Cricetulus griseus: one gene and its partner. The protein of the gene in region 2 binds, or shares a complex with, the protein of the main gene of each other region. Links are inferred from orthologs where the notes say so. Each region holds a gene or a part of one and is shown on either strand. Other genes may lie near its edges.

The links.
Region 1: Banp (region 2) and interferon regulatory factor 2-binding protein 1 share a complex: the UniProt entries of both Homo sapiens proteins name them as parts of the corepressor complex. The link is inferred for Cricetulus griseus from reciprocal best matches to the Homo sapiens genes BANP and IRF2BP1.

What each region holds. Positions count from the first base shown.
Region 1 is NC_048602.1:28,364,005-28,368,152, reverse strand, and holds interferon regulatory factor 2-binding protein 1, read left to right. Parts: upstream 1-1,389; 5' UTR 1,390-1,426; coding exon 1,427-3,187; 3' UTR 3,188-3,606; downstream 3,607-4,148. UniProt on the Homo sapiens protein: Acts as a transcriptional corepressor in a IRF2-dependent manner; this repression is not mediated by histone deacetylase activities. May act as an E3 ligase towards JDP2, enhancing its polyubiquitination. Represses ATF2-dependent transcriptional activation.
Region 2 is NC_048596.1:198,630,210-198,633,804, forward strand, and holds part of Banp (protein BANP), read left to right. Parts: intron 1-412; coding exon 413-588; intron 589-3,595. UniProt on the Homo sapiens protein: Controls V(D)J recombination during T-cell development by repressing T-cell receptor (TCR) beta enhancer function. Binds to scaffold/matrix attachment region beta (S/MARbeta), an ATC-rich DNA sequence located upstream of the TCR beta enhancer.

The DNA of each region.
Region 1 (4,148 bases), on a different chromosome or scaffold from region 2:
CCCCAACCTTCCAGGCAGAGGAAGTGCGTCAGTGCGTCCATCTCGCAGAGCATTTTGGGAATTGTAGTGCGATTGGGGGGAGCGCGGGGAAGCGGACTGTGTAACCCTTTGGAGACCAAAGCGCCTGCACAACTGGAGCCGACTCGGAAAGCGCTCAGCGCCCCCTCCTTCGACAGATGAGGCCCTGGCTCCGGAGCCTTCGGTCCTCTCCTCATCCTGTGGCATGCGGGCCTCCCTTGAGGCTCGCACCCCTGGGGGAGGACAAAGTGGCTTGGAGACACCCCTTTCCAACACGGTCGCCTGCTTCCCGGTCCCTTGAAAGCATCCAATCAGAACCTCTCCGCCCCATCTCAAAAAAGCTGCTGCCTCCCTCACCCGTCATTGGCCCTGCTTGGAGGGGCGGGATTCTCAGAGAGGGCAAGACTCTTCTCTGAAACTGCTCAGCAAATCAGAGCAGCAGCAGAAAATGCTCGCCGGGGTTCTGGGCCTGGAGTTCCAGCACTGCAGCCCCGCCGCTAGGGATGCTGATGCAGGAGGGCCGCAGCCAGTCTCAAGCCAGCCTAGCTTATCGACGCTGGCCTTCTCAGGCCAGCCTAAGCTAAAATCCAAAGTCTCAACATCAGAAGGCGGGAAAAAAAAAAAAATGAATGCCCAGCACTTGTCCTCCCCAAGCATTTATGAACCCACGATCCGTCCCCTGGACCCCCGTGTTGCGAACCCAGGCGAGCCACAAGAAAGGAAGCACGCAGGGGCCAGGCGCGCGCCCACTCTTCTTTTCTTTTCTTTTCTTTTCTTTCCCGCCACTGCTTTCTGCCCAAGTCCCCTTTAAGAAGCAGCCCCGACGGGACTACATTTCCCAGAAGGCTTTGCCCGCGCGTTATGTAACTTTCCCTGCGAAGCGGCCTCTGGGGCAGAAGAAGGAGGTGGAGGCGGCGGCGGCGGCCGTTGCAGCGGCGTCGGCGGCGGCGGGGCGAGCGGCGGGGCGAGCGGCGGGAGCCCGGGGCGGCGGCGCCCGAGGCCCATCGGGGGAGCTGGAGCTGTGCATCCTGACTCACGGTGCGGACCGGAGGAGGGCGCCGACGTGCGTGCTCGCGGCTTGCCTTTTCCACGGGAGGCGGGAGTGAGGAGGAGAGAAGAGGAAAAAAAAAGAGAGAGAGAGAGAGAGAGAGAGAGAGGAAAAAAAAAAAAAAGGCTCAGGGCCCAGGGGGCGTGGAAGGGGGGCCGGGCCTGAATCCGGCGGGGAGGCCGAGCGCAGCCGAGCCGAGGCCGGACCGAGCGAGCAGCGGCTCGCACGCCCGATCCCCGGGGCCCGGCGGAGCGAACGTGGGCGGCGGGTGCACCGCGGGGGGCCCCCGGCGGCTCTCCGGGGGTTCGGGGGGGGGATCGGTGGCGCGGCGGCGGTGCGGTGTGGTGGTGGTGGGGCGCCATGGCTTCGGTGCAAGCGTCCCGCCGCCAGTGGTGCTACCTCTGCGACCTGCCCAAGATGCCTTGGGCCATGGTGTGGGACTTCAGCGAGGCCGTGTGCCGCGGGTGCGTGAATTTCGAGGGCGCCGACCGCATCGAGCTGCTCATCGACGCCGCCCGCCAGCTCAAGCGCAGCCACGTGCTCCCCGAGGGCCGCTCGCCGGGACCCCCGGCCCTCAAGCACCCGACCTCCAAGGACCTGGCCTCGGCGGGCACCCAGGGCTCCCAGTTGCCGCCCCCGCAGGCCCAGGCGCAGCCATCGGGGACCGGAGGTAGCGTCTCGGGCCCGGAGCAGCGCTACGACCGGGCCACTTCGTCGAGCCGCTTGGCGCTGCCCTCGCCGGCCCTGGAGTACACCCTGGGGTCCCGCCTGGCCAACGGGCTGAGCCGCGGCGACGAGGCGGTGGCCGAAGGGGCTCGCCGGGCCCTGCTTGGCTCCATCCCCAGCCTGATGCCCCCCGGGCTGCTGGCAGCTGCGGTGTCTGGCCTCGGAGGGCGAGCCCTGACGCTGGCACCTGGCTTGAGCCCGGCCCGTCCACTCTTCGGCTCCGATTTCGAGAAGGAGAAGCAGCAGAGGAATGCGGACTGTTTGGCAGAACTGAACGAGGCCATGCGCGGCCGGGCGGAGGAGTGGCACGGGCGCCCCAAGGCTGTGAGGGAGCAGCTACTGGCGCTGTCTGCCTGCGCCCCTTTCAACGTCCGCTTCAAGAAGGACCACGGGCTGGTGGGAAGGGTGTTCGCCTTCGATGCCACCGCCCGCCCCCCCGGCTACGAGTTCGAGCTGAAGCTCTTCACCGAGTACCCCTGCGGCTCCGGCAACGTGTACGCGGGGGTCCTGGCGGTGGCCCGCCAGATGTTCCACGATGCCCTCCGGGAGCCGGGCAAGGCCCTGGCCTCGTCGGGCTTCAAGTACCTCGAATACGAACGCCGCCACGGCTCAGGGGAATGGCGCCAGCTGGGAGAGCTGCTCACCGACGGGGTCCGCAGCTTCCGAGAGCCCGCTCCTGCCGAGGCCCTGCCTCAGCAGTACCCAGAACCGACCCCGGCTGCTCTGTGTGGCCCGCCACCTCGAGCCCCCTCCAGGAACCTGGCGCCCACGCCACGCCGGCGCAAGGCGTCCCCCGAGCCCGAGGGCGAGTCAGCCGGGAAGATGACCACGGAGGAGCAGCAGCAGCGGCACTGGGTGGCACCGGGTGGCCCCTACTCCACGGACACGCCTGGTGTGCCCTCGCCCATCGCCGCCCTCAAGAATGTGGCCGAAGCCCTGGGCCACTCACCCAAGGACCCTGGTGGGGGTGGAGGCCCGGTGCGCACAGGGGGAGCCAGCCCAGCCGCCTCCTCCACGACCCAGCCACCAAGCCAGCATCGCCTGGTGTCGCGCAACGGAGAGGCAGAGGTCAGCCCCACGGCCGGGGCTGAAGCTGTCAGCGGGGGTGGTAGCGGCACAGGGGCGACCCCTGGAGCCCCCTTGTGCTGTACCCTGTGCAGAGAGAGGCTGGAAGACACCCACTTCGTGCAGTGTCCCTCGGTACCCGGACACAAGTTCTGCTTCCCCTGCTCTCGAGAGTTCATCAAAGCTCAGGGCCCAGCTGGAGAGGTGTACTGCCCCAGCGGAGACAAGTGTCCGCTGGTGGGTTCCTCCGTTCCCTGGGCCTTCATGCAGGGCGAGATCGCTACCATCCTTGCTGGAGACATCAAGGTCAAGAAAGAAAGGGACCCCTAGGCCGCCAATGCCATCGATAGGCTACTTACCCCGCCCCCCCTAGACCACCCACCGCAGTTCTTGCGGATAAATTATTCCCTACCCCGCCCAGCCCAGTACCGCCCTAACCTGTGTATATACCCTCTTCCCCTACCCGGATGGATCCCCTAGGGTAGATGCATTGTGGGTGGGGGGAGAGCTTGTGGCTCCTGTCAGAGCAGGCGTTTGGAGTTCCTGGGTCCCTCCGATTTCCTTCTCCTTTCTTGGCTTGGCTTTTTCTGCTGTTGGTAGTTGGGGAGAGAGATGCCCCGCTTGTCCTCGAGGGGAGGTCTCCTGAGAACTCGCTCTTTATAAACGAAGCAAAAGCATTTTATTGCTCCCCTCTCCCACCCTTTCCCTCCTTCAATAAACCGAAAGATGGTTTTTTTTTTTTTTTTTTTTTTTTTTTTTAAATCCTCTCCCCTCCTTCCCCTCCTTCCCCTCCCCTTCACGGTCCCTTTAGTTGTGTGAGATGCTGCGCCCCCTTCGGGACTGGACGTGTCCTGCGAGAAGGTGGACTTCTGCTATGTGACCACGGGGTGGCGCCCTTTGTCCAGCGGGCGGCTGTTTGTAGTGTACGTTTGCTGTGCTCATTAAAAGGTGTAGTCGAGGCTGGTGTTGCAGACGATGGAACTGAGGTTCTGATAGGGTTTGACTCCCGCGTGGGGAGCGCAGACAAGCCGGGGAGTAGGTATGCGCTGTAGCTGGCCGGTACTCTGAATGTGGGAACCATCGGAGGAGGGGACAGGAAGAGGGGCACTTCCTAGACCAATTTACGTGAAGGTGTATTTCTAGGGTAACTGCCCTGGGTAGAGTAAGTTTTACTTTCCCCGGGCAAACAGGGTAACTGGAAGCAGGGTGATGGTGCCTGAGAGGCGAACACACCCGAGAAACCTATCCTGGGTTCACGTCTTTCATCTGGGGACATGGCAGCCACCCTAGA
Region 2 (3,595 bases):
CTTGGGTGTCTGACAGGATGGATGATGGATGGATGGGGGCTCTTTGACACACAATGACCATTGTGCACATCAGCCTTGTTAGGATGATCTCTTGAGATCCGAAAGCAGGATTCTAAGCTGAGTTTCAGTGAGTTATGATTTTATTTATTTTGTGCTGTTCATATTTTTAAGCAGTTGCTTTATATTATGTGTCTTCTTGGCCTCAGACTGTTTCTGTGTTATGTTGCTATTCATCTCCATGGAGGGTGTGTGTGGGGACACACCGCATGTTGGGGGACCCACTTTGTACATTGGTCCATGCTCAGCTAGGCATTTTGGGATAAGTCCACACAGCACAGTGAGTCAGGGCTAGTCTCAGTGTGCCACTCATGTCCCTCTCACAGCGTGGGCTGCTGTGTTTGTTTCCCGTCAGCGCTGTTCCTGGGCGTCGGCAGAACACCATCGTGGTGAAGGTACCAGGTCAGGATGACAGCCACAATGAAGATGGGGAGAGCGGGTCAGAGGCCAGTGACTCCGTGTCTAACTGCGGCCAACCAGGAAGCCAGAACATTGGAAGCAACGTCACACTCATCACCCTGAACTCTGAAGGTGCGTTACCAGGGCTGCTCTGCTTGTCAGCACAGCCATAATTGTGCTTTTGTGCTGTTAGTTTGGAAGGGCATGTAGCTTATTGTTGATAAGAGGAGTGGATCAGAAGTGATGAAGAAAGTTAAAGCGACTGGGAAGCCCACTGTGGCTTCCAGCACCTGAGCCTCTCTCATGTTGTGTTGGTTTTATGTTTGCTTTCCCCTACCTACACAGAAATTGATTTCTTCCATGTCTGTTGGTGTTTCCAGAGTGATTTCAGTGTCACTTATGGAGGTGCCTTCTTAGATGGTCTGCTTCCTGAGGAGGAATAGCTTTTATGATCCTGCAGCAGTAGTCACTCACTGTCCTTGGCATTTCTCTGCAGGTTTCCAGAGGATATTGCCAGACTTAGGAAGTACAGTCTTCTTAAGGCTGGGCTGCCTTTTGTGATGGGGATCTGCAAGGGGCCAGGAGGAGCAAGTGCTGTGGTCTGTCTTTCCCAGACTCCTCCTCATGATTTCTTGGGGTCCCCATGTGGGGCCCATGACCATGGACTGAATCCTCTGCAAGCTTTCCGCCTTAGTCTGTTACAGTGACAGGCTGGTTTAGTGTATCCACATGTTTATACAATGTCACCACTATCTAAATCTCGAATTGTTTTTTATCACCCCCCCTCAAAGAAACCTCAAACCAGTTAGTAGTCCTCGCCCTCCCACCCAGTCCTTTTAGCTGCTGATCTTCTTGTGTTAATGGGGATTCCTGTGAGCACTGATTGTGACAGGGCCATAATTGTTCCTGTCCTCCCTCCATAGGGAGAGGGGCTGCATTCCCTGTGCTCTGGTCCTGTCCTTATGCACACAGGGGCTGTATTATTAGTGCTTCTGCCTTAATATGGCAGAGACTGTATTCCCCATTCCCTGACTCCCCACATATAACAAAGACTGCATGCTGCATACTCTGGCCCTCTCTTTGTATGACAGGGACTGCATGGCCCATGCTTCAGGCTTGCCCTTGTGTGACATCGTTAGTTGACAGGTATTTGGATCTTTTTTGCTTTTGGCTGTTGTACGCTGTGAACACTTGTGAAGTGTGAACACTTGTGTGTAAGTTTTGGCATCTATGTGGACTCAAGGCCAGAACAGCTGGCTGTTTTAACACTAACTGAGGAGAAAGTGCCAATCATTCTTTCTTCAAAGGAAGTTGCATAAGGACCATGCCTGTAATAGCAAAGGAGCCTGACTGATCTCTCTCCTTTCCTGTGGGAACCATGCAAGCTCGGGTGTTGGTCTGGTCAGCTGCTTAGGCCTGGTGTAGACCCCTAAGGAATATAATCTTTTTAATCCAGGAAGTCTAGATTATCATAAGAATAGAATTTTCCCTTTTGACTCTGACTTTGTGATGTGATCAGTGTGACATACATTTGGGAAAAATAGCAGATTTTGTTGAAATGAACTCAGGAAAAGGAATCATTTGTGGCACTTGCTTTGTTATTAGTGTCTTAAGGAGGAACAGAAACGTGTCTGAGTTCAGGGTCTCTGAGTGAGATGTAGTTAGTAGTTTGATGAGCAATGTCAGAGCCACACTAAAAGCTGCCTGTGTCATGATACAGTCATGACTCTGGTGGACAGCACCAGGAATCTTCATTCTCCGATGTTAGGACTCAGCATTCCCCCACTCACAGTTTTACTTTTGAAGAAGAGGTCATAGTTCAGAACCATTTGGCTTTCTTGTTCTTTGGGAAAGGTAGGTCACAGTGTCTTATCAGTAAATGATCCTGCCGAGTTGTATGCTGGCACAGTGGTTTTCTAAGGAGTGTCTGGAGATAGGCGGCATCATTATTAAGTGATTGTTGCACATGTAAGAGCTAGGAGGACTACCAAGCAGGAACATGTCTCACTTCAGACTCATTGCCCACTGGTCCTGACAGTACTGGCCTCTAACCTGTGGCACTCAGTCATGGTCTTGTCTCTTTGCTCAGCAGGGTGTGTTAGGCCATCTGGCTTATGTTATAGAAGATTATTGATATGGGGTGCTATGGATGATGATAAACTTAACAGGATTTGTCCCATTAAGAGCCAAGAATTGCAAGCTGACAGATGCTTCTTGTCTTCTTATGTGAGTGTCTGTGTGCCTGAGGTTTGGAGAACCAGACTTTGAAGTTATTATTTATTGCTTAAGAATTCCAAATGTTAAAGAAAAAAAAAAGTTGTGTGGTGGTGGTGCACGCCTTTGATCCCAGCACTTGGGAGGCAGAGGCAAGTGGATCTCTGTGAGTTTGAGGCCAACCTGGTCTACAGGGTGAGTTCCAGGACAGGCTCCAAAGCTACAGAGACCCTCCCCCCCCCAAAAAAAAAAAGTCAAAAAATCCAAAATTTTTTGTTTGTTGTTGTTGTAAAATTTGAAGTCAGTGGAACCATTTCCAGGTTTGTTTTGTTTTTAGGGTACTGGGGTTTAGACCTAGGGCCTATGTATGCTTAAGTACTCTACCACTGAGCTGTATCCCAACCCTCTTCTCATTCTTTATTTTGAGACAGTATCTCATCAGGTTGTCCAGGCTGGCCTTGAATTTGCTCTGCAGCCCAGGAATGATAGGCTTTGAAATTTTAGTCCTACTGCCTTAGCCTTTGAATGAAGTAGCTGGGATGATAGGCCTGTGCCATTTCATTGTATTTTAGCTTTTTACTTAGGTAATTTGTTAAGTAATGTAAACTTAGTTTAGATGAAATAGAAGGTGTCTCCTAATTGTTGGCCCATGTCTTCCTGTACCCCCTATTCTTGAGAATGTGAGGGCCATAGTCATTCAGAGGCTAAGTTGGCTATGTGACAGATACAAATTGGCTAAACGAATCAAAACAGGATCTGTTAATTAAGGGATTTAGTTGGGTTTCCATTCCCACAGTGTGGGCATTTGGTAATTCCTAGAGGATGGACTAATCCTCCATGTAAAATGCTGAACACTTAGTTACAATGCAGAAGTATTATGTTTCAGGTATTACTGGTTCAGAATGCTCCCTCTTCAGCCCATGGT